Arabidopsis thaliana: one gene and its partners. The main gene of each other region encodes a partner of the protein of the gene in region 3 in a complex. Each region holds a gene or a part of one and is shown on either strand. Other genes may lie near its edges. The genes, in order: CSN5A, CSN6A, COP13 and CSN5B.

Region 1 (7,597 bases), on a different chromosome or scaffold from region 3:
TGGGATCTCCTGTTTCAGATGGTGATCATGTCGTATTTGTCATCTCTCACCTTCTTGCAATTGCATCTTCTCGAGAGAATGGGTTTCTCTTTGAGAGATATTGCTAATGGAGCATCATCATCATCAATCACTCATGTGCCAATCTCAAGCTGATGCATGTATCAGCTTAATTAGTTTATGTTGTTTTAGCCTAAGGATGGCTAATCAACAAGACAAAGAAAATGTCTGTTAGGATAATGTAAAAAAAAAATCAAGCACCAAAACAATTTTCTGTTTGAAAGACTGAAAAAACGATTGCATAATTAAGCAAAATGATCAGCACAAAACCCTGCAAGCCTTTTTGTTGCATCAACATGTTTAGTATCTTAATTCTTAAAGACTTAGTCACTTAAGTCCTCAAGTCTCAGATTATGTTTCTTAAATAAAAATGCATTACTCAAATGTCTCTGTTTACTGTTACTAGTGGTTAAAAACTTTGGGGAGTAACATCTCATAACCTCCTAGAATATACTATGCAACACATACAACTTCATGCTTTTCAGTTTTTGAATCTAGTATGTTCATAAGGATACTGGAAATATTCATACTGAACACTGTACTCACATCTCCTCATGTTCTCATGTTTCCCAATGTATGCTTCTCAGTCCAGTTTGACACCTTCTAGGGCTGAAAACATTAAGACGTGGTTGTGTGCTAGAGTCAACATCTTGCGAGAAAACATGTTGTAGCCCATCCATGTCACCTCTCAAGTCTGTCCTCTCATTATCTTGTAAGAAAACACTAGTGGAAAGAAACTCCCTTAATGAAAGCTTAATTACATACAATCTGCTGCTCCCATCAAACCATTGAGGTTGATGAAAATCGAGTCTAAGACACTACCCCCAAACACTGCTTCATGCCTTCCTCAATTGTATCATTTTAAAAATGTCTTATATCATATATTTCCTGGTGTCAAGCATGATGATATAGATGGAGTAGAGGAGTAGAGATAAGATCCTTGTTCAGGGCAGAGTAACAGTTGTGTCTGTGCAAATTAACAACCTAAGCTTGTGTTAACCAAGAAGCTTGAAACATGGACTAGAGAATATCTAAAATCCAAATGCATTTCGAGAAAATGCTAAAAGAACAAAAGTAGTGAAACAAATCACAATATATCAAAACTAATCTCCAGAATAAATTTTCATAATATCTTCTTTGATCATTTGGATCTTCTAGATCCCCAGAAAAGATAGAATGGCTTAAGCTTCGAACTCTCGGACCTTCTTGTTCTACCCAACTATACATTAGACAAGTATTAGGCCGTAAATAGGCCCATTTAGGGATACGCGAAGGCCCAAAAAGTCTTTGACATCATCATGTGGTTTCTTATTCTTGTTTTCCAGTAATGCTGGTTAAGTGAGGATGTCATTATTGATTAAGCCCCACGCAGCTTCTATCAATTACTACTACCTTACTCTTAATCCTACTCAAGTAACTTCACACGTTATCTCTTCCTACCGACTGTTTTCTCGGCCTGATGTTCGTTTAGTAGTCAGTTTGTTCGAATGCAGAAATCTTAATCCGCTTTTAGTACCCTTAAATCGTGGTCTTGTTGTAATGACAATTTCGGTTTTAGAATAGAATTTGTTCGCTTTTAACAAAAGAAATGCTGTTCAAACATAAATGTGAAAAACAACATCCTGATGAATTTCATGTGATGAAGAACAGAAAGAAAAGAGGGCCTAGAATCATTGTTGCTTCAATCGTTGGAGAACATTTGTATGCTTGTGTCAATTTTTTGCACATGGTTCCGTAACAGGCACATGATTACTGTGACATCACGTGTGTATCTGGAATTTGGTTTTTAATACCACTAAATCAAGATAGTCAAACGCAAAAACATAATGATCGATTTATGTTAATGTCATTTAATAACCCAAAGATCTTTGTCTGAAGCAGATACTACACTAGAGATATAGGGAACAATGGGCATTGCCTCATAAACCGGGTCAAACCGATAGTCAATTTCCGCAGCCAAAAAACAAAAGAATAGACCAACTTCACGATGTAATCATGGGCTCTGGATCTGATGAGTCGTCAGCAGACTTCTTGGACTGACGAGCGGAATTGAACAAGATGTCTTTGATAACCTGCACATTGATGGATGAAAGACTTTTTAAGTCAATTTCATGGATCCATTAACCGCAAGGGGAAATAGGATCAGCATTGTCAGATTGTATTTACTCACCTGTGACATTAGTCCATGGACCTGCTCGACAGTTATCTTTGCACTATCCCGAGTTATCTTCGCGAGTTGAGGCTCATCCTGAAAGTGGTCCACAACACATATACTTAGGTAATGTAATCTCCAAAACAAATGTTTTTATGTAAAGAAGATTAAAACAATATCAAAATGAGTCACACAGCCAGAGATAACAGAACTCTAGGAAGCAGACATAGACTATTGGCAACAACTCGTTGACAAATTGATACATCAAAGTCTCCCTGTTTTACTAGTTCAAACTTTAATAGCTCTGTATATTTTTGACTAAACATACACTCAATTGTGAAATTTCAAACCCAGAAAAGGTAAAACATAGTGTTTTGCAGGTAGAGTTTCTATTAGTCAATATCCAGTCAACATAATGCCTAAGAATAAAAAGTTCAAATTTAATCCAAGTTGCTAGATGTTGATAGTAGCAGTTAATTAGCCAAATGAAAAGTTTCTACACAGGAACAAGCTTGAAAAGTGGCAAGTGTATGAGCTCAAGATCATGGTCCAGTATCTCAGACAGTCAATAAACATTGAGAACATAACAAATAATTTTGCTAAAGCAACCATTTAGACAAACCTCTTTCCTCCTTTGGTGACCGGCTGGCGCAATTCCTCCATACCGGGAGTTAGCGAGCTGACTCTCCGCTTGCTCGAGCTTCTCAGCTTCATCATGTAAACAATTAAATGGTAAGAAAAGAGGATATATCAAACTACGACCTGGATGAAAAGTAAATTAACTTGCTCTTTCATATATACAAGAATTTACCCAAGTCTGATATTTGCCCGGCAACATAGTCTCCATTGCCCAACAGTGGGGAAGAAGAAAGAGTGTTCACCCAGTACTTGTTCCAAAGGAGATCCAGAAGGTGACTATCGAGAGATGACTTGAAATAAGTGATGTCCAATGAGTAGTACTGCCACATACAAAAAAAATGAATCATAAGATCGATGATTAAAACCCTCCCAAGTTTTAAAATCGATAAATAAGAATTATACATACCTGTTTGCAATGTACACCAAAGTCCTCAATCTTGTTAAGAGGGATAGTCTGATACTCAGAAACATGATCATCCGAGATCTTATGTCCCTCTGGATATGTTCTGAATGCCCCAATCTCAACCTTACCAGCCGAAACAGTCCTTGTTGGATCAATAACAACAGCTAAGAATGGCTCCTGATACTGTTGGTTAAGCATCTGTGTCGAAACATCAATACCCGAGAGCCAACATCCATACCCAGGGTGAGAGTGATACCATCCAACAACGTTCTCCAACCTCCCAGCCTATAGTTCAAAGTTACAGTCATAACCAATCAATCAAACACTCGCAAAATCTTGCATAAAGGATCCAAGTAGCAACTAGCTAATTAAACAAGGAGCTACAGCGAGAGATGAATAAGAGATATCTTACCAGCTTGCTGGTCTGAGAGTATTCAACCATATACTCATAGGCATCAGACTGAGCATTAACCCTAGTCTCAGTACCTTCAACAGGCAAAGCAAAAGCATCCATAACGATGATTGTATCACCCTCGGTTTTACCCTGCATAAGACCCATGATCTCGATTGTGCCACCGGAGCGAGCGTGAACCACCATCTTGAGAAGAGCAAGGGCTGAGATGTGAACGCGCTTGAAGTAGTTAGGATCGGAGGCCCATGGCTTCTCCTGCTGGATTTTGGCTTGTGAAGCGTCGTCGTAGTGGAATATACTGTCGGAGGCTGAATCGGTTGGTTCCACTGGGAGAATGTTGTTCTCTAGCTCCCATGTCTTCCTCGCGATGGCTGACGAGGAACCTTCCATTGAAATCGACTTCGAAGAGTAGAATAAATCTAGGGTTTTGCTTAATCGCGAGAATTGATTTGAGGGTTTGAGTCAGAAAGAAAGAAGAAGGCAAACAAATAGAGAGAGATCTTTGGGTTCTTGGGTTAAACCGGTTTGCGAGAACAAAACTCAAAATGGATTTACTTAATATGGGATTTGGGGACTAATGCTAATCCAAAACATTAACCATATAAAATTTTTATGGAAATTTAATATTGTACATTTTTTATTAAATATTTTTCCCTTTTTATTTTTAGTTTGTTTAACTTTTATAGAAATCAATGTTGGCAAATCAAAGGATAAATTCCAGTCATTGTATCAACCAATTGGTATAGAAATCAATGTTGGCAACACATAGATTTGGCATACAATATCTTAAATCACAAAGCGTAAAAGAAGAGTAATGCATCTCATGCATATTTCTTGAGATATCCACACATGCATAATTTCACCAATGTAGTAAGCTTATTTTGATAGCATGTTCAACTTATATATTGTGTGAATTATGCTTGACTTTATGGCATAGACGTTGATCTTTAGCTATAAAGTCAAGCTTTTGTCTTCTCATTCTATCATCGATCAAAGCATCTAAATCACTTTCCTCTCTTTTCTTCTCTTGTTTGTGTCAGAACTCAGAGAGTATAACATAAGGTTAGCTTTCGATCAGTTTTTTATTTTGAGTGTTGCGAATCAAAAGAAAAATTAGTTTTAGCATTAGACCTAAATATTTGTACAAGGACACAGTGTAATATTTGTAAAGCAATTAACATAGAACAAATAATGAAACACAACAATACTATAAAGATGTTTTGAGTTAAGGAGAGAGATCATCAAAGTGCTTGCTTAAATTTCTACCGTGTTGTTGTGTTTCATTACTTGCTTAAATGCTTAATGATAACTGCTTTAAAAATATTAGATTGTCTTCATGTACCAACATTCAGGTCCTACATCCAAAATATTATACAAGACAAAGAATTCACTACAATATAAATACGCTAAAATTTAAGAGCAGCCTCAATTATATGCATATACTAAGATTATGGCCGCCCCTGCTATGCTGATACAAAATAAATGCCAAATTACATCATATATCAAAATATTTTGGCAAAATAAAACATAATTGCCTTTAGTTGGATTTTGAAAAAAAAAATGGAAGATCTTCTGAGTTTGTGAGAAAGAAGAGCAATAAAGAAGAAGTTAATGCATCTGTTTGACTGTTACAATTACTTATAAAAAAAAAAGTGGAAGAAAGTTTAGAGGAGAGGATACATTTTGAGATCATGGGGAAGGAGTGGTTGCTAACAAAGTGGTAATAGAATTAGATTACGTGAAAGTATAAAAGTAAAATTTGAAAGTTTTGTGACATGTGGTAAATGTTGCTGTTTTTGAAAGTGTTGTCCCATTTGAAAGTTTTGTCACATTCGGTAAAATTTGAAAGTTTTGTTACATGCAGTTTTGAAAGTTTTGTCACATTCGGTAAAATTTGAAAGTTTTGTTACATGCAGTTTTTGTTAAAATGACGGTTAATTTAGAGGGGGGTGGGAGGGGGAGGGTAAGTAGTTATATGATTTTGATGATTTTGTAGAAGTGTATTCAATCTAGTATTTTAAGTGATTTGTGTAAAATTTATCAATCATGGATTTTAAAAACTCTATTAAAATCAAGTGTTATTGAACTAACGATTTTAAAATTTACTTTTAAATCAACTGTTATTGAAAACAAATCTCATGATTGTAGATGGAATTTGAAAAGATTGTACAATTAATCACATCAACTTTCTTAAAATTATAGAAATCTTTTCAAATTCTATCTAAAACCATGAGATTTGAATTTGTGTATTTGTAACTAAAGAAGTTTTCTCAAATCTTTCAAGATGAATAAGAATCAACTCCACAAACTGTTTTCAATAACAATTGATTTTAAAGTTAATTTTTAAATTATTAGTTTAATAACATTGGATTTCATTAAAGTTTTTAAAATCTATAATTAAATAACATAAAGTTTGTAAATTTTACACAAATAATTTAAACTACTAGATTAAATACACATCCTTTAGTATATATAGATTTGAGAAAGTGGATAACATTTTTTTTGTTGATGTCTAGCTTGAAACAATTCATACGCCCTCAGTTTCTATATCTTTATAAACTTGGTACAATTGATGACAAAAGTCCACAAAATAAGGGGTCATTGGAATTAAAGCGTTACAATCTTTATACCACGTGGTTGCAATATAAGGGTGACCAAGGTATTACTCAAAGGCTCAAAACTCGAATCTTTGAATAGTGACAAGTGGAATAACCTTTAAAGCCAAGTTGCTAAATATTTTTTCTTCCTTCTTCGATAAGTATTTAAATTTTTGTTATGTTCTCGTCCATAAATTGAGTGAATGATATTAGATAAGAGGTCCAAATCATGTATAAAATTTTAGAAAGCATTTAATCTCTCTCTTACATACCTATCAGAAATCGAATATGACCACTTTACTTCTTTTTTTCGTCGACCTTGACGATAAACGATTTATGACTACCTCTTTATCTTAATGATCTCAAACTCGCTTTAGGTCTTTCAACAATTATATGGCGTATCTTACTCATTTATAATGCAACAAATGTCAATTAAAAATCAACTTCAAATTACTATGGAATATCTCAAGGAAACTTATTGTAGAAATTTGGTGGAACTAGTAATCAAACTTGTTCATATAAATGCATTTGGCCTTTTGGGTTCGTTGTTGGTCTAGAGTTTAACGGTTTAGAGATTGTTTTAAGATTTTATTTCCCATGTACAATGAAAGTCTAATACAAATAAGTACTATAAACTAAGCGTTATGATCAGTAGATTATAATTTATATCCTACTATATTATTTGGGAAGTACATTTTAAATGTAACCTTAATTTTTGTAAGTAATTACATAGGTATGCCATTAGAAATAAAATTTTAAAGAGTAAATTAATTTATCTCTTTAAGGATTAAAAAGTCAAATACTAATTTAATTAATTAAATTTAATTAAAAAATGAAATATATTATTAATTTCCAAAAATAATAACCAATCAAAATCAACATATAAGATTTGATATCTAAATTTTAATTAATTTAATTTAATTAGAAAAACAAAATACATTATTAATTTCCAAAAAGTAACCAGTTAAAATCAACAAATTATGTTTGATATCTAAATTATCATATTAATTTTTTATTAATTATTATAGTTCACTTCTCATCGTTATATGATTCTATTTTTGCGGAAAAATAATATCATCATTATAAAAAAATAATTAGAGTTTTTTTGCATATGCCATAATTTGAATTTTTAAAAACAAATATAAACTGTTCAATACATGAAAAAATATTATAAGGGTAAAAAATAGATTTAAGAAAACTTTTTACTGAGTAACGGGTCATAATTTGAAATATTTATATTCAATTTCATACATATTATATTGAAAATTTATAATTTATATATACTACAATAATTAATAACATGTTAGATGTGATTCAATTTTTAATACAAGCTGGAA
Region 2 (7,309 bases), about 18 Mb from region 3:
CTTCCATCCTGTTTCAAGATCATCTTCCTCTTTCTTCCAAGGCACAACAGAGATGATGTCAGTTGATTATGGTAACTACAACAATAGATCTTCTTCTCATCAATCCGCAGAAGAAGTAAAACCTGGCTCTGAAAACATAGAAAGCTCCAATCTTTATGGGATTGAAACTGACAATCAAAACGGGCAGAACAAGACATCTGATGTCACTACAAACACCAGTCTTGAAACCGTGGATCATCAAGAGGAAGAAGAAGAGCAAAGACGCGGTGATTCGATGGCTGGTGGTGCGCCTGCAGAGGATGGATATAACTGGAGGAAATACGGACAAAAGTTGGTCAAAGGAAGTGAGTATCCGCGAAGCTATTACAAGTGCACAAACCCGAATTGTCAGGTGAAGAAGAAAGTTGAGAGATCAAGGGAAGGTCACATCACAGAGATTATATACAAAGGAGCTCATAATCATCTTAAACCTCCACCTAATCGCCGCTCAGGGATGCAAGTAGATGGAACTGAACAAGTTGAACAACAACAACAACAGAGAGATTCTGCTGCAACGTGGGTTAGTTGTAATAACACTCAACAACAAGGTGGAAGCAATGAGAACAATGTCGAAGAGGGATCTACGAGATTCGAGTATGGAAACCAATCTGGATCAATTCAAGCTCAAACCGGAGGTCAATACGAGTCAGGTGATCCTGTGGTTGTGGTTGATGCTTCTTCAACATTCTCTAATGATGAAGATGAAGATGATCGAGGGACACATGGAAGTGTTTCTTTGGGTTACGATGGAGGAGGAGGAGGTGGGGGAGGAGAAGGAGATGAATCAGAGTCGAAAAGAAGGTTTGTTTTAGCAATCGAAACACCGAATCCTCGATGACTCAGTAAACGAGACTCAAAAACTTTTTGATTTTACAGGAAACTAGAAGCTTTTGCAGCAGAGATGAGTGGATCAACAAGAGCCATACGTGAGCCAAGAGTTGTTGTGCAGACAACGAGTGATGTTGACATTCTTGATGATGGTTATCGCTGGCGAAAATATGGTCAGAAAGTTGTCAAAGGCAATCCAAATCCAAGGTTCTTTATAATCCCCTCCTCTGTTTTGGTCTGGTTCTGTTTATATGTTTATCGGCAATCACAAGACCAATTCTTTTTTTATAACGTTTTCATAATGTTTTTCTAGGAGTTATTACAAATGCACAGCTCCAGGATGTACAGTGAGGAAACATGTTGAAAGAGCTTCTCATGATCTCAAATCCGTTATAACAACTTACGAAGGCAAACATAACCATGACGTCCCCGCTGCACGCAACAGCAGCCACGGAGGCGGTGGTGATAGTGGTAACGGTAACAGCGGCGGTTCAGCCGCAGTTTCTCACCATTACCACAACGGTCATCACTCAGAGCCGCCACGTGGGAGATTCGACAGACAAGTCACAACTAACAATCAGTCTCCTTTTAGCCGTCCCTTTAGCTTTCAGCCACATTTGGGTCCTCCTTCTGGTTTCTCCTTCGGTTTAGGACAAACCGGTTTGGTTAATCTTTCAATGCCTGGTTTAGCGTATGGTCAAGGGAAAATGCCGGGTTTGCCTCACCCGTATATGACACAACCGGTTGGGATGAGTGAAGCAATGATGCAGAGAGGGATGGAACCAAAGGTTGAACCGGTTTCAGATTCAGGACAATCGGTATATAACCAGATCATGAGTAGATTACCTCAGATTTGAAATTTACTCTTCTTCTTCTTCTTCTGCATTTGGTCACTCCTTATAATAACTTTTAATTTCTGCTTCTTCTTCTTCTTTCATTTATTGGTTTCAAACTTTGGGGAAGGTAAAGGCTGTTTTATTGTTCATTCCTTGGTTTTGTCTTCTTTTTTACTGGTTCTTTATCTTATATTGAAATCAACAAAGAAGAAAAAAGTGAGTGTTGTGTAGCAATACTGCAATTGCTAACTGGAGACTGATGTGGATGTAACTAGAGAGACTGATAGAATCAAACCTTAAAATCTTTTTACTAACAATAGAAACTTGTTCAAGATCAAACAAGAGCTTTGATAGATAAGCAGATGTTCTTATAGATATAGAAACAATGAAGAGGATAAAGTCTTGCCGTCTGAGTTATAGATTCTCACAGAGGCAATGTTAAAAATGGTTTCAGGAACCAAGAGAAGATCTTTAGAACTAGAATCGCTGGAAAGGATCTTTTACATGAATGCAGTTCTTCCACCTCTTCGAGTGTTTCTGTCATATGCGGTGTTGAATTTGTCGACCATCTCGTTCATGTTGCTGCAGATTGAGCAAACAAAATTATTAACTGATATAACAGAATCCACCAGCCCGGTGAAAACCGTATCTTTCACAGTTCCTAAAGAACCACTAGTTAAAGAGCATTCGCTAGCCTATATACTTGCTTTCAAATACTTTAGAATGTTGCATTAGGTACAAACCTGGAACAATTTGTAATCATCGCTAGGTAAGTTATTAGTAATTTGTCGTTGTACTCCTGCAAAAAGAAAAAATGCCAGCATAAGTTGCGAAATATCTCAGACAATAAGCTACACTGAAAAGAATCAAGTGCAGATCTAACTAACTCACCATCAAGAAATTATCTTGAAATCTCTCTGATTCCATGGCAGGCAATCTTCTTAGCAGGCTAGATACTTGTCTCAGAACTGAGTTGTCACAAGATTTATCACCTACACACATAAATGAGTTGGCAGATAAATTATTACACTTACACAACTTTGACTATCTTCAGCTAGAATCCTGGACTGGTAAACATGAAACCACGGTGATAAGAATCGGAACTTGGGAAAGAACAGAATATACCTTTCTGCATTGCAGCAAGATTTTGGTAAAGCACTCTGATTCTGCTATTAAGCATCTTGATGGCACTATGTATACCAGTAAGATGAGCAGCCACTGCATATGAACGAATAATCAGCCAAAAACAGTAAGACTCAGGAAGTGGAGTATGATATGTATTAGTGACATAAGGCTCACACTGGGTTGCTGCTGAGCCTCCGTCAGATGGTTTAAGATGTGCAACATGATCAACTGATATCCGTTCAGCTTCAACTGTCTACATTGTATAACACCTCAAAATCTTAGTCAATGTACACTTTCATAACATAGATTAAATTGCAGAATGTTTGACAAAAAAAAAAAAAATTATTTGCAGAATCAAACTTAAGCACAGACCTCGATTGTGTAGCTTGTATGAGCGAAAATTAGCTGCGGGATTCCATCAATGACATGCAATTCTTCAAGTAATGAAGATCAATCAATGAAACAAAGAGAAAAGTTAGGATCTTGTAAAACAATCTGACCTAAATCTGGAAGTCAATAAAGATAAAGACTTGGGAAGATATCTAGAAACTCTGAACTACGCATATACCTATACTAACATGCTAACATATCAGAATGTACCCACAGAACCATATGACATTATAAGAAGCATACCACTTTCATAAATAGTCACTGGAAGATCCTTCTGTGTGTGATTGATAGCAGGGTTTAAAAGCACATAAACAGGAGATTCATTGATATCCATCAACTGTCACCAAGAGCAGACACAAAAACCACACTTTTAGAGACCAAATCTCAATTATACAAAAATACTAGAGAGAGCATTGGACTCACAGCTTTATGGATATGCATATCAGATTCCTCAGCATCACTTCCCGTAGAGTACCATCCCAGAATATAGAAATCAGGGAACACCTTCTTATCTAATAAACAATAAAACCAGATAAAAGTTCAAACTTTAATTTACGATTGCATCAATAGTTGAGAATAAAAAGAGTGAGCTTTAGCTTACAGAGCTCTTGCTTCTTCTCGAGGAAAGATCTATCAAGGGTTTGAGTAGAAGGATCATATAAAAGCTCGAAACTGTTGAATATCTCAACAGTACGACCTCTCTGGACACCGATCACACATCCGTAAACCCTAGGGTTTTGCTGGAACATTGCTTCGCCGTTGTTTGAGCCATGGCCGCTTGCGCAGATTGAAGCAGGAGGATTGAGCTGAGTTTTGACCCTAGTGTAGTGATCCGATATGTTGACGATTACCAAAGGATGTAGCTTGAAGGTTAAACCGCTTGATGACGAAGGTGCCATTGTCGATCTCTCTCTCCTTTGATGAATTCTTTGGTTTTTGGGTTTTTAGTTTTTTTATGAAGATTTTTTTTATTTAAATCAATGTGGATTCGGATCCTAGATCGGGTCTTCCGGGTCAACTATATGGATATTAGTTTTTTCTGTATGGGCCGAGCGTAGGACTTATATATGCGGTTGGGCCTCATGACTTGTTTTTCCAATTACATTTTTTCATTTTGGAAACTAATTATATTAATTAACAAACGAAAATAAGATAAACCAAACGATTGAGACTCATAAAATCAGATATCTGAAGTTGACAAAAAATGTACTAGAAATTTGAAAACAGACAACATTCATCAAATTTTTCAATATGAAAGTTCAATAGTTCAGTGGTTAGACTAAAGGTTATAATTTTTTCCACAAAATGTTTGATTTCTAGTGTGTAAATTCTTGCAAGTTAATGAAAGGAAAAAAAAATCTAGAGATGCCTAGCATATTGTAACTATTGTTGATGTAGATGAATTTTTTTTTTTTTTTTAGTTATTGATGAAATTAGTGAAGTCATGTTGGTCGTCCAAATGTGTGATATGAGTACAAGAGTAGAATCTACCTTCGTTTGTAACGCATTGCACAATCAATCAAGAAATATAACTAAACCCAGCAAAAATCAAGCAATATAATTTATTTATCTTTGGTATGATCAAGCAAATATAATTCAACACTAATAGGAAACTACAAAATTCAAAAGTGGCAGCAAATCGGACAAAAAGATAAAACATATCTTGATAAAGAAAGATAAAAAAAAACTATATTCACAACAATTCATTTTTAATTACGGATACTGTAAAAAACGGTTTTTTCACAAAAATAAATAACTAAACAAAAATGTGTTGGTGAGCCTAAAAATGTGTGTGGTGTGGATAATATATAAATATTAATTACCAAAATACTATCAAAAAATTTAATAATTTCTTACGAAGCTGTGACCAAACACAACAAACAAAAAAAACACCGCCACGAGACGAGCCAAACTAAAGATTAGGATTTGGGAGGTTGATGATCAATTCCGGACAACGGAGGAAACCATACTGATAGATTCAACGACGGTGATTGCGGCGGAGGAGTAGAAACCCGTTGGAAACATGGCGATGAGAGACCTTGTTAACGGCGGAGCCGCTTGTGCCGTTCCTGGTTCGTCTTCTTCTTCTAATCCTCTCGGAGCTCTCACCAACGCTTTACTTGGTTCGTCTTCCAAAACCCAGGTTAGCTTCCTGATTCCTTTTTGATCGAAACAGTGTTGACATTTGAAGTCTCCTGATTCCATTCTTCGCCTTTTCCTTGGTTCTCCTGGAACTAAGAAGTCGAATTAGATCTCATTTTTCGTTGGGTTTTGTTATTTGCTTGCCAAGTTTCGATTTTTCTTTCCGTAGTGTTAGGGTTTTAGACGTTCTTCGATTATGTCAAGTGATTTGGCTGACAATTGTTTAAAGGTTTAAAATTTCCTGAGAATTTGAAGAAATGTTGATGATTGGTGATTTGTTGTGCAGGAAAGGCTCAAGGAGATACCTAATGCAAACCGGTCAGGTCCTCGGCCACAATTTTACTCTGAAGACCAACAGATAAGGTCACTTCCTGGTTCTGAGTTAGATCAGCCACTTCTGCAACCGGGTGCTCAGGTTAATGTTGTGGAAAGTTTTGGTTTTACAATGGTAGTATTGACTCTGATTATCTAGCCTCTGTGATGGCTGATGGGTTTGCAATTTTTACATTAGGGGTCAGAGTTCTTCCGTGGTTTTCGCTCTGTTGATCAGAATGGTTTGGGTGCAGCTTGGGATGAGGTACAGCAAGGTGGACCTATGCCTCCAATGGGACCTATGTTTGAGCCAGTTCAGCCTACATTTGAAGGTTTGTGATTTGATCTATACCACTTTTATTTAATCCCGGATACAAAACGGTTAGATGTAGTGGTTTTGATATTGAATAAAAGGTAGTATATATTTTCACATATTCATCTTGAATCGAGAAGTACATAACATTATTTTTGTAGGAAGAGAAGTTAACACTGAAAGTGTTAGTTAGTAATTTAGTATAGCGACATGAAATAAATAGTGTGGTCATTTCTTTCCATGAGTCCTATTTCTCCTGAATGACACGTTGAATATTCATAGCTCTGTCTTAGTTATATAGCCTAATGTCGAGTGAGGCATTTTTCGTTTGCTTGCTTGATTAGTTTTTCCATTGCTTATATATTGCAGGACCCCCACAGAGAGTTTTATCAAACTTTCTGCATTCATTTGTTGAGAGTAGCCGTGGTGGTATTCCATTTCGTCCAGCACCTGTTCCAGTTCTAGGATTGTCACAAAGTGACAAACAATGTATACGTGATCGTAGTAGCATAATGGCCCGGCATTTTTTTGCCGATAGGGGAGAGGAATTTATTAATTCTCAGGTTTGCCATTTATCTGATAGTGTTCTGTAGCTGCAACATTGTGTTATATGCTTTCAACTTAGGTTTTAAGGGTCGAGTATATACTTAATATTTTGGTGTTATATCATTCATGCCCATTGCCCTTTTGAAATCAAGATCTATTCAATTATATAACGAAGTGTAATTACAAGAAAGTTCAGGTCCACTCTCCTTCATCTTGAGTTTAAATCAAAATGTAACATTTTGGAATGCAACGAGGTAGCACTGTCACTGTCATATATCACAATCATCTGTGGGTCAGGGCTTTTGTTTGGGAATTATAGCTGTTGTTTTACTTGGTAATTGTTCCTATCTAGTATGGATTTCTCGAGACCATGCCAGCTGTGCAGTATAGTTAAGCCTTTTGTTTGTTGCCGATGGCCTAAGCCGTTTTCTCTTCTCCATGTCGTTGGCTGAATATTTTGTTCGGCATTGTTTTTCAAGGTAAACGCATTATTGTCATCTTTAGATATTGATGATGGGATACAAGCTCGAGGTCATGTTCCCGGGAGATTTCGGGAGCTAGATGATTACTGGAATGAGTCTCAAGCTGTTGTGAAACCTAATTTACATCCTGCTGACAATTGGGCGGCTGAATTTAACCAACATGGGATGGATCATGGTGGTCCTGATTCATGGGTCCAGTCTTTTGAGCAACAACATGGTGTGAATGGGTGGGCTACTGAGTTCGAGCAGGTAACTAGCATAAATAGCTATATGATAGAAACTTTTTCCTTCAGTTG
Region 3 (7,795 bases):
TTCTCTTTTGATCCCTTCAGCCCTCTCAAGAACTTCGGCCTGAACCATGTTAAAGAAGTTAACCACTAAGAACCCACTATACTAGTTCATCACACGTCCGGCATATACTAACGCAATACCTTGGTAGGACTACCAGTTAGGTAATCTAACTCAGCCTCTGACCACAGCAAAGGGGATTCCGCATCTAACTGACCTCTTCCTCTTTGACGATCAAGTTCTCTTATATAGGGATACCATACTGATTTCTTTCCTTGTTTCTTCTCATACATCAAATACAAAGCTAGACAAGCCAGTTCGGATAATTTGTTCGTCGTCAACAGTTCAGCTGTGTGATAAAGAGAGTTTATATGGCTTCAGACAAGAATCAAAACACCCGTAATCCCACCCTTATCTAAGAGAAATCACAAAGTCTAATCCAAATATTATAGTGCATAACTGATGAAGTAGCTTTATGGAATAGGAAACATAATAGAGAATGTCTCATACCAATAGTCTCGTTTCCCAAAACTCTTTCCAGAGTAACCACCAGAGAATCAGGAACTGAAAACGCCACATCACCCTTCTGTAAAAGACAGGTAATTAGGAAAAATTTACCATCAAAACCCGGAAATTGATACTTGGAATACCCTATGGAACTGTGTATAAGCAAATAAAACTGTTGAAATGCTAAGTCAACCACCTGAAGATCCTCACTAGCAGCAACATAATGTATAGGTTTATGCTTCTGATCATGAGCTGGTCTCTCCTTGAGAATAACCTTGCAAGGTGGCAACCCATTCTTATCCATCCAAAACTTCAAATCCTCGGAGTCATCTCCTTCCTTCTTGCTCGATACTTTGCTCTGCCTCTCGTCTTCCTTTGGTGAACCGCTCGCGACTAAAGTATCTGAGCTCGAAACGCACAAGCTTCTTAGATGAACCGATCGCGATGAAGAGATCAATTTATTGTTCCTCCACCGAGGAAGTGAAGAAACCCTAGAAAGTGGGAAAGAACGAATTGGAAGAGAGACGCATTTCGTATGGAAACATGTGATAACCCCTTCCATCGGAATTATCAATTCCAAAATTCCGATTATGTCGAAACGTAAAGATTCTCCGGCGACGATTCTGAGGATTTTGCTCCGTTCTTCTTTTGCGTTTTCTCAGATTATTTTTTTCATTGAGGATAAGAGAGGGAAATGGAGAAATCAGGTTGAAAACGAAATGGGGAAGATGCGACATAAAAAATGAGTAAAGAAATAAAAATCTACGTGGCGCTTAGCGAGAATGGGCCTGAAACTAGCCCACCACAACAAGGAGTCTATCAGATTCCCCAAACGACACGCAGTTAAAAACGAGTTTGATACGACGCCGTTGAGACTTCTCTAACCCTTGCAAATGATAAAACGCTCGCGTAAGTTAGCACGAGAGATACACGCGCAAGGGGAAAATTTTTTAAGTAAAAGGGAAATAAAAGATTTGAGGGTCCATAATGGTCTTCTCTACTTGTTGGCAATTGTGACAAAAATATGAAACTTTTTAAACCAACAAAAATGAACAAAGAAATCAAAAGTAACATTCTCAAGATTCACACTACGGTTGTCTTTGAGCCAAGTTTTGTTGGTGCTTCTCGACTTTCGCTGTTTACATGGAGAACTTCTGAGGAACAGTATCGAAATCGTCTCCAAAGTCGTACCTTTGTCTTTCCCTTCCTACCTGAAAAAAAGTAGTCAAACGGCTTAGTCAGAGAAACATGGGTTTCCAGGACAGAAGACTAATGGAATATGGTATTAAATTACCTTTCCCAAGTATAAAGGGTCACATGATAAGCTCTCATCCATGGCTAAGAGATTCTTCGACAGACCAATAGTCCTGAAATTTTTATCAAAACACATAACTTGTTTGATGCTACTACTTTCCTTTGGCAAAACAGTCATCTCCATATCAACTTGATTCCAAGTGCTAATTATGCACTCCTTATTACGAGTTTCAACATTCAAGCAATGTTTCCCAAAAAAAAACCATATCAAAACACTTAGTTCTGTAGACATACCTTTGTATAACAGAATCCATGATCTCAATCATCTCACTAGATTTGTACTGCTCAGGGTCCTCCAAGAATCTGACCATCCCGTCTTTCTGGTTGATAAGGGCATGTATCTGACCATCCTGGATCTGCAGGTTTGTAAAGAAAAAAATGATATTGTCCAACATACCAGTTAAACTAATAAAGCTAGCTTCCAAAAATCAAGTGTGGGACACAATACCATCTGAAGCACATGCATTTCCGCCTCCTTAGCATTACCAAGTTGGACCATGTTGGCTATATCTTGAAGCGACAGGGTCAAGTACTTCTGTGTCAATCTCAGAATGTTACGCTTGTAAAGGGATGACACTGCTTGCTTAACTAATCCAAGGTTCTTATCCTGAAAGAGCATTTCGCCCAAGTTATGGAAGGGGATGAATATTTAATATTGGTACAGAAACTATGGTAAATGTTTAGAGGCAATTTACCTCTTCAAATTCTGCATTCCTGGCCACAACCAATGCCTCTAGTTCACCAATCTTCCCGTCGTTGTAACAATTACCCAGTTCAATGTAAGGCTGAGAAAAGGGTGAACGATAAAATCATAAGCCTGAAAATAGATTTAGCTGGTATGGAGTACAAAACAACTGAAATCTTTGGACTGAAGTGAAAAAGGGACCAGACTCCATTCAAACATGAAAAATACAACTAATGATCGGGTTCAAACTTACTCCGGTATAGTTCTTGAAGCTCCTCTGTGCTGCTGTAGAAGCACACTTGGGGAGAGTGTTAGTAAACTGCACAAGTAAAATCAAACAAGATTATAAGAAAAACATCATAAGATTAACCAATGCTTGAAATTAAAATCAGACACAGGATGTAATTGTGAAACCAACATTTCTCAAAAACATACAGTTGATTCAGACTCGTGCAATATGCTCCCATGACCGAAAACTAGATAAACAAAGAAAGTAAAATATAAAGAACACAGCCTTACCTGCCCATTGTGAATGAGAGACACCAATATGTACTTTTTGTACGCCTCAAGAGCTATGGCATTGACTTGATGCATAGGAGCAGTCACAACCTGATACAAGTACTTAGGTTGAGTTAAAACTAAAACGAAAGTCCTTAATGTATAAAAAGCACGTAAGAAAAAATAAAAATGCCTTACATTGTAAAGAAGCTCTAATGCTTTCTGAAATCTCTTCAGTCCAATACAAATCATTCCCCTATCAAAAGTCCAGGTAATCAAGGACCAGAATAAGAAAATACTATAAAACAAACCCAACAGGGATGGATTTAATGTGTTTACACATCTATTGATCAAAGGAAAAAAACAGATAGCAATGAGGAAAAATTGCTTACCCATAATAGCTATAGAGAAAAAAGTCTCTTGGCTGGTCAATCTCCACGATATCATCACTAAGAATGGAGAAACCAGATTTGTACGATTTCGCCTGCAAACAGAGTTGAAGAACATCTGGATGCAATGCAGTCAAACGCTTGGAGGAGACCTGAAGCTTCTGAACAGCGTTTAACAGTGGCCCTACTCCTCGCAACGGATCTCCCAGTGCTATAACATGGTCTTTCAATATCTTACAAAGAGATACAACTGCAAAATCAATATAATAACATCATCCATCTCCCCAAAGAAAAAAGAAAAGAAAACACATTAAGACAAGATAAGCTCTCATTAAGTGTCAGTAAATTACATTTATAGCTCGCCAAACGAATCTGCCCAGCATCACAAGAATTGATGAACCGTGCAATTATCGGTATCTCATAAGCAGCTTTCTCCTTCGACACTGGACCACAGGTAAGAACCTCACTGTAACAATCAAACCATACAAAAAACTCAAAGATCAGAAATCGAATAACATAGACAATTCTCCTTGTTAAACTTCGACCTAATCACACACATCAAGTTCCAATAACCAAAATCATCAATCAGCCTCAAAGTATACACAAACTAGTAACAAAAACCTAATCTACCAATAGGTTAAAACTCACAGGAAATACAGGTAACCGAGAGAGTGCTTCGAGGCGTCGAGCTGGTCAAGAGTAGAGAAATTAACACCTGGTTCGGCTCGGAGCGAGTCTTGAGCTCCTCTCAAAAGATCGTGAAGTGCAGATAAATCCTCTGGACTCCCCGATAAACCTTGGATTGACGTTATCACAGCCTCCACCGAGTTCACAGCTCCGATCATCTTCGATACTAAGACGAAAACACAAAAACCCTAATCGATCGCCCTTTTTCTCCCTCTCAAAATCTTTTGCTAAACTGTTTGTTTAATTATCTCTGGATCTTCTCCATAAAAATACATGCTCTCATAATATATATACGAACCCTCCGAACGGTTAAGAGTCTAATACATTACTCTAGAATAATAAACCAATATCTAACCGGCTTTTAAACCAAATATTCCCGGTTCGAAATGTACCAGATGGTAATTGTCGGTTTAGCCAGACCAATTTCGGGGATGGCCTTTTATCATTCGTCTTTCCAGAGAAAGAACGAGATTGCGATCACAGAGTGTCAAAGCAATCTGCTTTTTCTCCTCTCAGATTCAAAGGTTCTCTTTGAAGCTTCGTAGGTGGTTATACTTTGATGGCGGATTATCATTTCGTGTATAAGGACATTGAAGGAGCGTCAACTCAATGGGATGATATCCAGCGGAAATTGGGGAATCTACCGGAGAAGGCTCCGGCTTTCAAACCTCCGGCGTATACTCCGGCGGAAGACGAGTCTTCAGCTCCTAAGGATCAGGCATGGTTTGATAAGAAGACAGAGGAGGAGCTTGAGGATCTTGAGGACGACAAAGATCTCGACGATGATCGCTTTCTCGAAGAATACAGGTTCGTAGATCGAATCGAACATTCTGATTTTTGTATTTACAATCTTAACTTTCCCTGGAGAATCCTTGCCTTGGTGGATTGTGAATTCAATTTTCTCGGATCTGTTGCCATGTAGCTAGGGAATGCAATTATCAAGCTCTGGTTTTTCTCGATTCGTTTGTGTTTTGGATATGAATGCAATTGAGGGTAGTATCTTATTTGAGATGTTGATGAATAGGCTAAACATAATTGTGCAACACACTTCATGATTCACAGGCACTAATGTGTTTTGATGCTTTCATAGGAAGAAGAGGTTGTCTGAGCTAAGAGAGGCTGCTAAAGTTAAAAGATATGGAACAGTGACTCCCATCTCGGGCTCTGATTTCGTGAGGGAGGTTACGCAAGCTTCTGCTGAAGATTGGGTTGTTGTATGTCTCTATAAAGATGGGTATGTTTTTTCAAGTATTCGTGAACTCTTGTTGAGCCATTCTTTACTACATGCTTGAAACACTATTAACTCATGTTTATTTCTTGTTGTTCTCTGATAGTGTTGCAGAATGTAGTTTGCTATTGGGTTGTCTAGACGAATTGGGTAGTAGATACCCAGCAACAAAGTTCGTTAAGATAATATCTACTGATTGTATTCCGAACTACCCTGATTGCAATCTTCCTACCTTGCTGGTGTACCACCATGGCGCCATCAAAGGAACTCATGTAGGCTTAAAGAGCTTTGGCCGTAGGTGCACCCCAGAGAGTAAGTTTGAATGAACCCTTGTTTGTCTGATGTAATCTGTGCTTATTTGTGTTTGATGATTATGTCATGTCTCATCTCTAGCCTTTGTCTGATCTGAGACCTGATGTGACCACATTGGCGATTGTATCATGCTTTGAGCAGATTGGTCTTAGGCACATGTCTAACATACTTGCAACTGATTTGGTTTTTCAGGTGTAGCCTTACTTCTGTGTCAATCAGAGCCAGTTCTTAACGATGGCAAAGGAGGAGACGATGACTCCTCGAGGGAAGCTGTGATGGCTGGAGTTCGAAGACAGTTCATAGAACGAGTGGTGAAGGACCACGAAGATAAGGATAACGATGATGGTGGTTACAATAGTGATTAGAACTTCAAAGCTTCTCTGTTTATCTCTGTTGGTTATTGCTTGTTGAGTTGGTGACTGGTAAACAAAAGTGCTGACTTCTTGTGTGATGTAATGTTTTTTAAACATTTTGTAACTTTTGTTCTTTTGAAAGAGACAGGAACTTCATGTTGTTTTTTGATATCCAGGTATCACATGCCGAATTTTAGTGCTGGATCTAAGCCTGTGAATCCATGTAAGTTTAGAATAGTCTTTGTTTTGGACAAAGTAATAATCAAATTTGGAGAATCTCAAATCAACTGAGATGTTTTAGTTTTCATTCATGTGCAACTCGAACTACTTCACAGTTCACAAATATACTGCAGATACCAAACCCAAGAACTATAAACATCCCCAACACAATAGAAGCACACTACCTTCAAAATGAAGCTCCCTTTCTCAAAACTTCTTTATATACATACATAAACAACACTAATTCTGAGTCTGAGTTCTTCCACAAATTGTCTCTCTGGTCACAAGTCGTATTCCCCTCACCCACATCTCTGCACACACCAACCCACCTTCACACACAAAATGAACCTCCTTGTTTTCCGTAGTCACTACCCGGAAAATCCCTTCCTCCTCCGCTCCATCGCCTTTCCCCTTACGGTTCTTCCTGAACCGCTGGCTCATCCCGATCTCTACTTCCTTGCACACCACAGTCCTCTTCCGTGACTTTCCCCAACTTAGTACTCCACTTGATTCCAACATTCTCAATCCTTTCCCATGCTTCTTTCCTTTCCCTCCCTTGGTGTGTTTCATCACACTGCTTCCTTCTATCACAAACCTCCGAGACAACTCATTACGGATCACCTTCTCCGCATCACCAGTCGCGAGATCCAGCAGCTTTTCCCCTCTTCCGTTCTTAGCATTGCAGTTTGCGCCACAGGAGATTAGGTATTCACACATATGTCCATGGCCCTCTCTGGCTGCAAGCATGAGCGGAGTGTAGCCATCTCCATCCGGGATGTCTAGACTGTATCCTTTTCCACTCAAAAGCTTCACTGCTTTGACGTCTCCACGCCGTGCAGCACAGTGTAAAGCATAAAACCCGCCTGCCATGTTTCTGCTGTCCTTCTCGAGAGCAAACTCGAGCATCACCTTCTCTATCACGTCACGGTTACCGTTCTGTTCAGACAGAGAGACTACCGTGTCGCCAGAGTTGTTATACAGCTTCACGTCTGCGCCTGCGTAGACTAAGACTCTAAATGCTTCAACGTGGCCATTCATGGCCGCTAGCATTGCAGCCGAAAAGCCTTCCTCATCTTGATAGTCTAGGTAGATGTCTTGAGCTTTTACAAGCGCTTTAAGCGCCTCAGCATCTCCTGCTTGAGCCCCATATAGCAAAGGCGAGAATACTGAAGCGTTGCTTGAATGTGGAACAACACCGAACCGGATCAGCTCAAGAATTACTCGCTCTAATCCAAGAGACCACTTGTTTGACTCAGCGATCGAAACAGCAGAATGACCAAACTTGTTCACTAAACCGAAATCAGCACCATCAAGGGCGAGAACCTTGACGCACTCTGGATGTTTGTGTTTTATTGAGATCAACAGGGCTGTGTTCCCTACATCATTCTTCGAGTTTATATCGCAGCCAAAGCCAACGAGTTGTTGTATGATCTCCACTGATCCGTCACGTGCAGCAATATGAATCGGTCTGAGTTCAATGCCTCGTGAAGTTTTGATAGGAGCTTCTGGATCGGCGCCACAGTCAAGGAGGACACTGACGGCTGCCTTGTTGCCACAGAGGACAGCATGGTGTAGAAGAGTCCGACCGTTGTGAAGAGCGTTTGGAGACTGGAGTTTGAGCAACAAA
Region 4 (7,249 bases), on a different chromosome or scaffold from region 3:
TATACTATTACCACTATCAACCTTCAGAGCAACAATAAGATTCAATTCGAGAATAAAGAACTTTTGTCTTCATATAAGCTAGACAGACGAAATGAACGGTCTAAGAAATACCTGAAAAGAAGGTTTTCCTGAGGCATCATTGCGTGCATTTCTTTCTTTACAATATGGATTCGCCCACGCGAGCATTGTGATGAATATAAGCCTCTGGAATGCAGGTTCCTATGAAGAGATAATTTTCAATGCTTCAGAAACCAATAAACAATACTCTCCATTTCTGAAACAATAAGTGTAAAGCATCCCAGTTTCCAGATACCTTGAGACACGGATGAAACTCCGAGCTATCCCTCGATAAAAACCTGAAACAGCAATACTCCACCAAGTACCGGGCATCAGTAGATAAAGCTGGAGAAACAATTGTTTCAAATATATCCTGCATTTTCTTCCCAGTGATTCCATTCATCCTGCTTATAAAGGGTCAAAGAAAAATGAATACTTTAACAACAACCACAAAGTGAAGATGATTCAATGATCCTGTGGTTTAGATTAGCTCACCTACTAAACTGTTCAATGGAGATAATAGCATCAAAAGAAAGAAACCCTTTTGGTGTATCACTTCGAACAGTTTGTTCAACTGTAAGAAGTTCCTCCAAGTCTTCAAAATCTTGTTGATCCTCAAGATCAATCTTTTTGAGACTCTGACTCTTTTTCTTCAATGGAGATGTTACATCACTCAGAATTTTCTGTGATTTCGACACCCACTGACTAAATCGTTCTTGTACAACATCTGTCATATAAGAACACCAACATAACTCAGCAGCTGTTACAGAGAACTTCAAGAACCAGAATTCGAAGAGGAAGAAGGGTCTTACTTGTGTCGATATCGTTCAATTTCCATTTCTTCTGAGCAACAATTCGGAGTCTTGGCTTTCGATTAGAAGCACAATTTCTGGAGAAAGAGCAGCGTCGATGAACACGAACTCCATCACAACGGAAACCAATAGGAAAATCTGGAGTTGCAGAAGAAAGTTTCAATCTTTTCAATGCTCCGACTCTCTGCGCCATTTCTGTAGCTGAAAAAAAAAAAGCTTTGGAGAGAAAGAGGCGTACAATAGCAAAACACCACCCTTTTTTTTTGTTGGTCTTACTAAATTATTGCTTTCTAGTTTCATCTTTTGTGTCTTTATTCTCAAATAAATATCAAACCATGTCGACGATTCCTTAACACAATTTTTTCTGTATTATTCCAATTTAATTCATTCCCATTTGCCTACAAATTTGTGTCACACAACAGAAAATAAAAGGTAAACATCAAATTAAGGTCCATAATCTTATTTAGAGGAATACTCGGAAACATGTCCATATGAAGATCTTTTGTCAGTTCTCTTGCTCTCAGAACAAGGTGGAGTTTTCCTCTTATTCGAATGCGAATCATCATCAACATCATCATCAAAAAGGCTGAGATCCTCCACCCCAAGAAGCAAGGGTTTGCGATATTCCATAGTGAAAAAGGCTACAGAGTCACTTTTCACTGTAAACCTATATAGCTCCCATGTTGAACCATTGTTCATAGCAAAACGTGGTATAAATTTATCACGTACATAGTTCCTTCGATGCCGTTCTTTAACCAGTTTCCAAACCCCTTGGTCGGGCACGAACAGCGCGAGAAACAGCCATATGCTATGTTTCTCGCTACATGTCAAATTTGTAGGAAACATATCCGTGCGGAGCTATAGACAATAACTGACTGTTTTCTTGAAGGTTTGGTATCCCCGGACTTCCACGAAGCTCCGGATAACTAAGGCTTTCTAAGATTCTCCGCAATACTACGTCTTCAAGTGTATAAGTTTGCCATGTTGTGTGAAGTGCGTTCTTGATAAGCTTGTTGAAGATGGTCAGGTTGGCAGTACATAGCTCCTTGTGGGCGTCGTCGTCGACAGTCCCATAAGGAACACTTTTCATCAACAAACAAAGACAGAGAAAGATGATTGCCATTGTTAGCCATGTTTTAGTACCACCTATTCACGGACAACGTGAGTGCAGAGAAGGAAAGAGAGAGGGGATAGAGTTGGAAAAGATCACTAGGTTTCTGATTTCCATAAATACAATTTTTGTTTAAGGGCTTAAGATTATTCCTTTAACCCCGACGAATCGAATGGGCTTAAAAACATTTCTTTAACCAAAATCTTCTTCTGTATTATTCTCATTAGCATTATAATTCTTTACACAACAGAAAATAAATGAAAGGACAACAAATGATGGGTCAATCCAAAACTAGAAACCAAAAGAAGAGCAACTTCAATATGTAATCATAGGGTCTGGATCCGACGAGTCAGTGGGAGATTTGTTGTTGGACTGACGCATTGAGTTGAATAATTCATCTTTTATGACCTACAAGTACAACAATGATGGATTTTGAGTCTGTGAAATACACGAACCTTAAGGGAGATATGTCACCATTTCGTTTCAATATTATTACTCACCTGCGACATTAGTCCATGGACCTGTTCCACAGTTATCTTTGCGCTATCCCGAGTTATCTTAGTTAGTTGAGACTCATCCTGAAAGTGATTTAGAACACACGTCAAATGAGATCTTTAACAAGCAACACCCATTAACATTCTCGAAAGTTATATATCTGTACAACCTTCAACAACACTTTCATTTCAACTAAACAGAACACCTCCAGGTCCCAATAACCAAAACATTTGAAGATATATCCTCTTAGTAGCTAGATGTTTACAGAGGCACTTAACTAGCCACCGTAATCGCAATTAAAATTTGATGAACCACTAGGACATACCTCTTTTTTCTTATGAAGGGATGATGGCACAACTCCTCCAAAGCGAGACTGAACCAGATGACTCTCGGCTTGCTCAAGCTTCTCAGCTTCATTGGTAAAATTACGAAAACGATTATATAACACATTACTTGACTGTGACTTGAGAAAAAAAAGTAAGAGTGAATGATTTAGGCCATATCCAAGAGTTTACCTAAGTCTGATATTTGTCCAGCAACATAGTCTCCATTACCCAGCAGTGGAGAAGAAGAAAGAGTGTTCACCCAGTACTTGTTCCATAGTAGATCCAGAAGGTGAGAATCAAGAGATGACTTGAAATAAGTGACATCTAATGAATAGTACTGCCAAAACCAAAAGCCAAACATAAGAATCATGTTGGGACCTTGCACCGAGAAAAATCAAGAAAATGTACCTGTTTGCAGTGAACACCAAAGTCCTCAATCTTATTTAAAGGAATAGTTTGATACTCAGAAACAGGTTCATCTGGAGGCTTATATCCTTTAGAGTATGTTCTGAAAGCACCAATCTCAACCTTACCAGCTGAAACAGTCCTTGTGGGATCAATAACAACAGCTAAAAATGGCTCCTGATGCTGTTGGTTAAGCCTCTGCGTAGAAACATCAATACCGGAGAGCCAGCATCCATATCCAGGGTGAGAGTGATACCATCCAACAACATTCTCCAGCCGCCCCGCCTTATAAAGGTCAAGTTATTATAACCATAATCAATCAAACTGTTCTGACTTATATACAAACTTTCTAAAGAAAAAAATCAAAACTTTGAAGTTTCTTGAATCTCACTTACGAGCTTGTTGGTCTGTGAATACTCAACCATGTACTCATAAGCATCATCCTGAGCATTAACCCTTGTCTCAGTACCTTCCACTGGTAAAGCAAAAGCATCCATAACAATGATAGTATCACCATCGGTCTTACCTTGCATAAGACCCATTATTTCAATTGTACCACCAGAGCGAGCGTGAACCACCATCTTAAGAAGAGCGAGCGCTGAGATCTTGACTCGTTTAAAGTAGTGAGGATCATTCTCCCACGGTTTCTCTTGCTGGAACCTAGTCTGTGAAGTATCGTCGTAGTAGAAGATGTTGTCGGAGGTTGAATCAGGTGAGTCTACTGTTAGAATGCTGTTCTCTAGTTCCCATGTCTTCCTTGCTATCGTCGACGACGAACCCTCCATTCTTTTTCGAATTAGGAATTCAGTTGCAGAAATCTAGGGTTTCATACGGAATCGATGGAGTGTGATCGATCTGTCTGCTGAAGAATTGAAAACTGTGTCAAAAATGTTACTTCGGGGATTGACTTATATATAAGAAGAGAAAAGTGGTGAAAATTAATTCCTCTGGATTCTTCTCTAATTTAGAAATAAAATTTAAAATCCTTTTAGTTTGTTTTTTTTTTTTTTTTTTTGACGGTATTAAAATCTTTTAATTGAATAACACAAAATTTTAAAATCTATTAAACATGATTTACAAAGATATAAACTCCAATAACACTAAATTTTAAAATTGAATTTAAAATCATTAATTAAATAACAGTGTATTAGTGTTGGATTTCTTTCTATTAAAATCCATTAATAAATAACGTCCCCTTGTAAAACCGTAGATTTCTTCCCTCTTCTAAAATAATTTATTGAATTACTTCAGCTTTTCTATCAGAGTGTCAGACCCTTTGCTAAAAGAACACGTATTGCTTTTTATACAGACACTGACACGTCAGTTTTCCGGTTCGGTTTTTTTACTGGTTTGTCGGTTTGGTTTGATTTGAGATTTTGGACGGACGAGTTTACAAATACGTTATGAGTGACTATGTTTGTAATTGATTCAAAATCATATTATACTGATATTCTTATTCTCCTGCAATCTGTTGACTTTATCTTCTGTCTAATTTATGTGAGAGATGTCTAAGAAACTGTAGCTACAAAACTAGAAACCTTATCTAGCAAATGCAAAATAGCCATGATTGTCTAATTTATCTTCTCCTCTTTTGAAACTTCAGGAGCATTGAATTTACAGTTCTGCTTTAGATTCCAAGTCTTGTTCTGTATCTTCAGAGATGTCATTTGATGGAAGAGGATTAGGCTTGTCTGTAGCAGGAGCAGCTACTGGCTCGTTGAGTTCCACATCTTCACCCAAGATTTTTGCTGTGAATTTTCGTGCTTCGAGATCAAGATCGGGCCATTCGGTTACGATTCTTCGGGCACCCTGCAGAAGAACACCGCATTATAACAAACAACGCTTTGTGAGTGTTGTAGATATGAGGAAAGCCATCATTTTACCTGAAGCTTTGGTTCCTTTGTCATGGGATTATTGCAAAGATCGATTGTTCTGGCCTTGGCTTTTGTGGCGTTTCCACACCAGGATTCACACCACAACCACTCTTGGGGAAGTGAAAATATAGGAACAGTATGCTGAGCATAATTAGGAAGATCCTGAAACAAAATAATGACATGCCATCAATATGTTTGAACCTGGAACTCTAAAGATTCAGAGCATGGTGTATGGTAAGAGTCAAATGCAAAAGCCTTTCAAATAAAGTAAAACGATAGTGTGACCACCAAAGAAAGGTTACAGCCCTAAGTATAGAGAACCATATTATACAACTTGCCTGATCTAGGTTGGACAAACTGTTTGGATCCTTGCTAAGCGTCTCATAGAATACTCTTAGATTATCTCCTGCCGCTGTCTCTCGGAACTTAACCAAGTCAACAACGTATAGAGCACTACAGATAGAACAAGGCACATTAAGAATGGGAAAAGCAACAACTTACTGAGGTTCAAGTAGGTTTTTTTACCTGATATGGTATGGCCTACCACGTAAATGTTCTTTCCAGAAACCCTGTTCAAAGCAATTGAGAATGTAAGAGTATGGAAACCAAAACTACCTCTACAAGCAAAACAAAAAGATTAATGTTTACCTGTTTCCAAAATTTATAGCCATCCATTTCCCTGTTGTTGTCACAAAAAGGAGTATACGCGAGAGGTCTTCCTTTAATATCCATATCATACAGTTCTCCCATGTCTGTCCTTATAATTTGATCTGCGTCGACAAATATAACCTACAGAACACATGTCGAATACCTTATAGTGACATCTTCCAAGCATCAAAATCGCAAGAAAGAAATGAAAATATGATCATCTGTACCTTTTCCAATGAGAGAGGAAATATGACATCAAGGAAAAGAATTTTGTAGGCCCAAATAATTCGTTGCTTTTCTTTCTGTTTATGCAACCAGGACGGCCATTTGTATGTAATCAGCTCATACTCAAAGTTGTATTCTTGTGCCATATGTGGAATCACATCCTGCAAGATTAGAATGCGATACACATTAAGTTAATGTGGCTACAAGATAAGTTCACATCTAGAGATAAGAAGACATATATAGATACAAACACAAAAGGCATATGTGGAAGCAAAGAAACAAGGAGCCAACCTTAAATTGAGGAGAGAGATAATTCTTAATAAACCAGAATTTTACAGGACGATTGGTGTTCTTCAGGACACTGAGAATCATAATCTTAAGGAAACGCTCGTATCTGTCATAAGCAGTGCCTCAGCGTCAGAAATGAATTGATACCAGCAAATCATATATTAAACTTTTTTTGTTCACATAATACACTTAAAACTCTTATGCACACGAATATCCAATCTACATATAGACGTAGAAATACCAAATATGATTTTCTTTTCATATGATTGATGCACTTAAAGTAATTCAGATTTTCTAAAATGGTTCAACGCACGTAATTATATTAAGTCAATGTGTGCGGTCAAGCAGGTTAGAAAAATGATAGCGCTTACAAATGCCCTGAAGCAATGGAGAATATATTTATCGTTTTCCCTTGTCGCCCACCCTTCTCATGCTCCTGAAAAGATGATAAATAGAAATAACTTGATTAAAATTGTTGCAAAGGTAGCCCACATGTTAGAATCATGCAGAATTGAGATGCAACAGGTTTACAACAATCATAAAAGTTAGTCCATATTACAAAAGCTACTCACTTTGTCAGGACCTCCCTTCATTGATTGTTGACGACCACCAACAAAACCAGACGCCCATTTCAAGAAATTTGAGTTCCAGCTTCCCTGCTAAAACAAAAGAGCGTCATTAGAGAATATATAACCAACACTTTTAAGGACCAATAGTTTTATTGTAAATCTTCTATTCGAGTAAAGTAGCACTCACTTCCTTGTTTTGTTGCACAGCATCATCACCGTCTGAAGGAACTAGCAACTTTTCATGCTCCTTACCCTTTCTCTTAACTACTTCTAGATGAACAACTTTACCACGCAGATCATCGATAGTTATACGTTTCAGCGAGGATTGATCTTGACTCCCATCATTTCCTCCTTTCAAAGCGTATAGCTCCGAACTTCTACCCGGAGCAAGTTGCAAATACCAAACCCCTGGGGATACTTTCATCTGCCAATAACCCAA

What was found.
Region 1: COP13 (region 3) and CSN5A share a complex: the UniProt entries of both Arabidopsis thaliana proteins name them as parts of the CSN complex.
Region 2: COP13 (region 3) and CSN6A share a complex: the UniProt entries of both Arabidopsis thaliana proteins name them as parts of the CSN complex.
Region 4: COP13 (region 3) and CSN5B share a complex: the UniProt entries of both Arabidopsis thaliana proteins name them as parts of the CSN complex.

The regions. Positions count from the first base shown.
Region 1 is NC_003070.9:8,107,843-8,115,439, forward strand, and holds CSN5A (COP9 signalosome 5A), read right to left. Parts: upstream 4,220-7,597; 5' UTR 4,054-4,219; coding exon 3,664-4,053; intron 3,537-3,663; coding exon 3,255-3,536; intron 3,169-3,254; coding exon 3,021-3,168; intron 2,918-3,020; coding exon 2,832-2,917; intron 2,306-2,831; coding exon 2,228-2,305; coding exon of another isoform or gene 2,156-2,227; exon of another isoform or gene 2,130-2,155; coding exon 2,040-2,129; 3' UTR 1,732-2,039; downstream 1-1,731. Other genes in the region: AT1G22910 (RNA-binding (RRM/RBD/RNP motifs) family protein), read left to right, coding at 1-107. UniProt on the Arabidopsis thaliana protein: Probable protease subunit of the COP9 signalosome complex (CSN), a complex involved in various cellular and developmental processes such as photomorphogenesis and auxin and jasmonate responses.
Region 2 is NC_003076.8:22,781,414-22,788,722, forward strand, and holds CSN6A (COP9 signalosome subunit 6A), read right to left. Parts: upstream 4,193-7,309; 5' UTR 4,118-4,192; coding exon 3,820-4,117; intron 3,731-3,819; coding exon 3,642-3,730; intron 3,556-3,641; coding exon 3,462-3,555; intron 3,263-3,461; coding exon 3,201-3,262; intron 3,082-3,200; coding exon 3,003-3,081; intron 2,922-3,002; coding exon 2,829-2,921; intron 2,696-2,828; coding exon 2,595-2,695; intron 2,503-2,594; coding exon 2,447-2,502; intron 2,286-2,446; coding exon 2,204-2,285; 3' UTR 1,971-2,203; downstream 1-1,970. Other genes in the region: WRKY2 (WRKY DNA-binding protein 2), read left to right, coding at 1-840, 916-1,074, 1,181-1,724; PEX5 (peroxin 5), read left to right, coding at 5,242-5,361, 5,647-5,775, 5,872-6,004, 6,355-6,548, 7,011-7,262. UniProt on the Arabidopsis thaliana protein: Component of the COP9 signalosome complex (CSN), a complex involved in various cellular and developmental processes such as photomorphogenesis and auxin and jasmonate responses.
Region 3 is NC_003076.8:4,594,389-4,602,183, reverse strand, and holds COP13 (Proteasome component (PCI) domain protein), read right to left. Parts: upstream 4,317-7,795; 5' UTR 4,215-4,316; coding exon 4,018-4,214; intron 3,836-4,017; coding exon 3,720-3,835; intron 3,620-3,719; coding exon 3,373-3,619; intron 3,237-3,372; coding exon 3,179-3,236; intron 3,092-3,178; coding exon 3,002-3,091; intron 2,802-3,001; coding exon 2,736-2,801; intron 2,583-2,735; coding exon 2,493-2,582; intron 2,405-2,492; coding exon 2,246-2,404; coding exon of another isoform or gene 2,198-2,245; exon of another isoform or gene 2,154-2,197; coding exon 2,032-2,153; intron 1,851-2,031; coding exon 1,778-1,850; intron 1,695-1,777; coding exon 1,623-1,694; 3' UTR 1,349-1,622; downstream 1-1,348. Other genes in the region: AT5G14260 (Rubisco methyltransferase family protein), read right to left, coding at 1-39, 120-325, 487-562, 680-1,045; AT5G14240 (Thioredoxin superfamily protein), read left to right, coding at 4,616-4,863, 5,147-5,290, 5,391-5,596, 5,789-5,961; AT5G14230 (ankyrin), read right to left, coding at 6,409-7,795. UniProt on the Arabidopsis thaliana protein: Component of the COP9 signalosome complex (CSN), a complex involved in various cellular and developmental processes such as photomorphogenesis and auxin and jasmonate responses.
Region 4 is NC_003070.9:26,849,302-26,856,550, reverse strand, and holds CSN5B (COP9-signalosome 5B), read right to left. Parts: upstream 4,146-7,249; 5' UTR 3,992-4,145; coding exon 3,602-3,991; intron 3,492-3,601; coding exon 3,210-3,491; intron 3,139-3,209; coding exon 2,991-3,138; intron 2,887-2,990; coding exon 2,801-2,886; intron 2,559-2,800; coding exon 2,481-2,558; intron 2,389-2,480; coding exon 2,296-2,388; 3' UTR 2,132-2,295; downstream 1-2,131. Other genes in the region: AT1G71240 (chromosome-partitioning protein, putative (DUF639)), read right to left, coding at 112-219, 314-464, 553-784, 870-1,062; AT1G71235 (uncharacterized protein), read right to left, coding at 1,329-1,528, 1,746-1,992; EBS1 (EMS-MUTAGENIZED BRI1 SUPPRESSOR 1), read right to left, coding at 4,821-5,015, 5,090-5,242, 5,419-5,533, 5,606-5,649, 5,729-5,869, 5,956-6,114, 6,245-6,347, 6,613-6,677 and 2 more. UniProt on the Arabidopsis thaliana protein: Probable protease subunit of the COP9 signalosome complex (CSN), a complex involved in various cellular and developmental processes such as photomorphogenesis and auxin and jasmonate responses.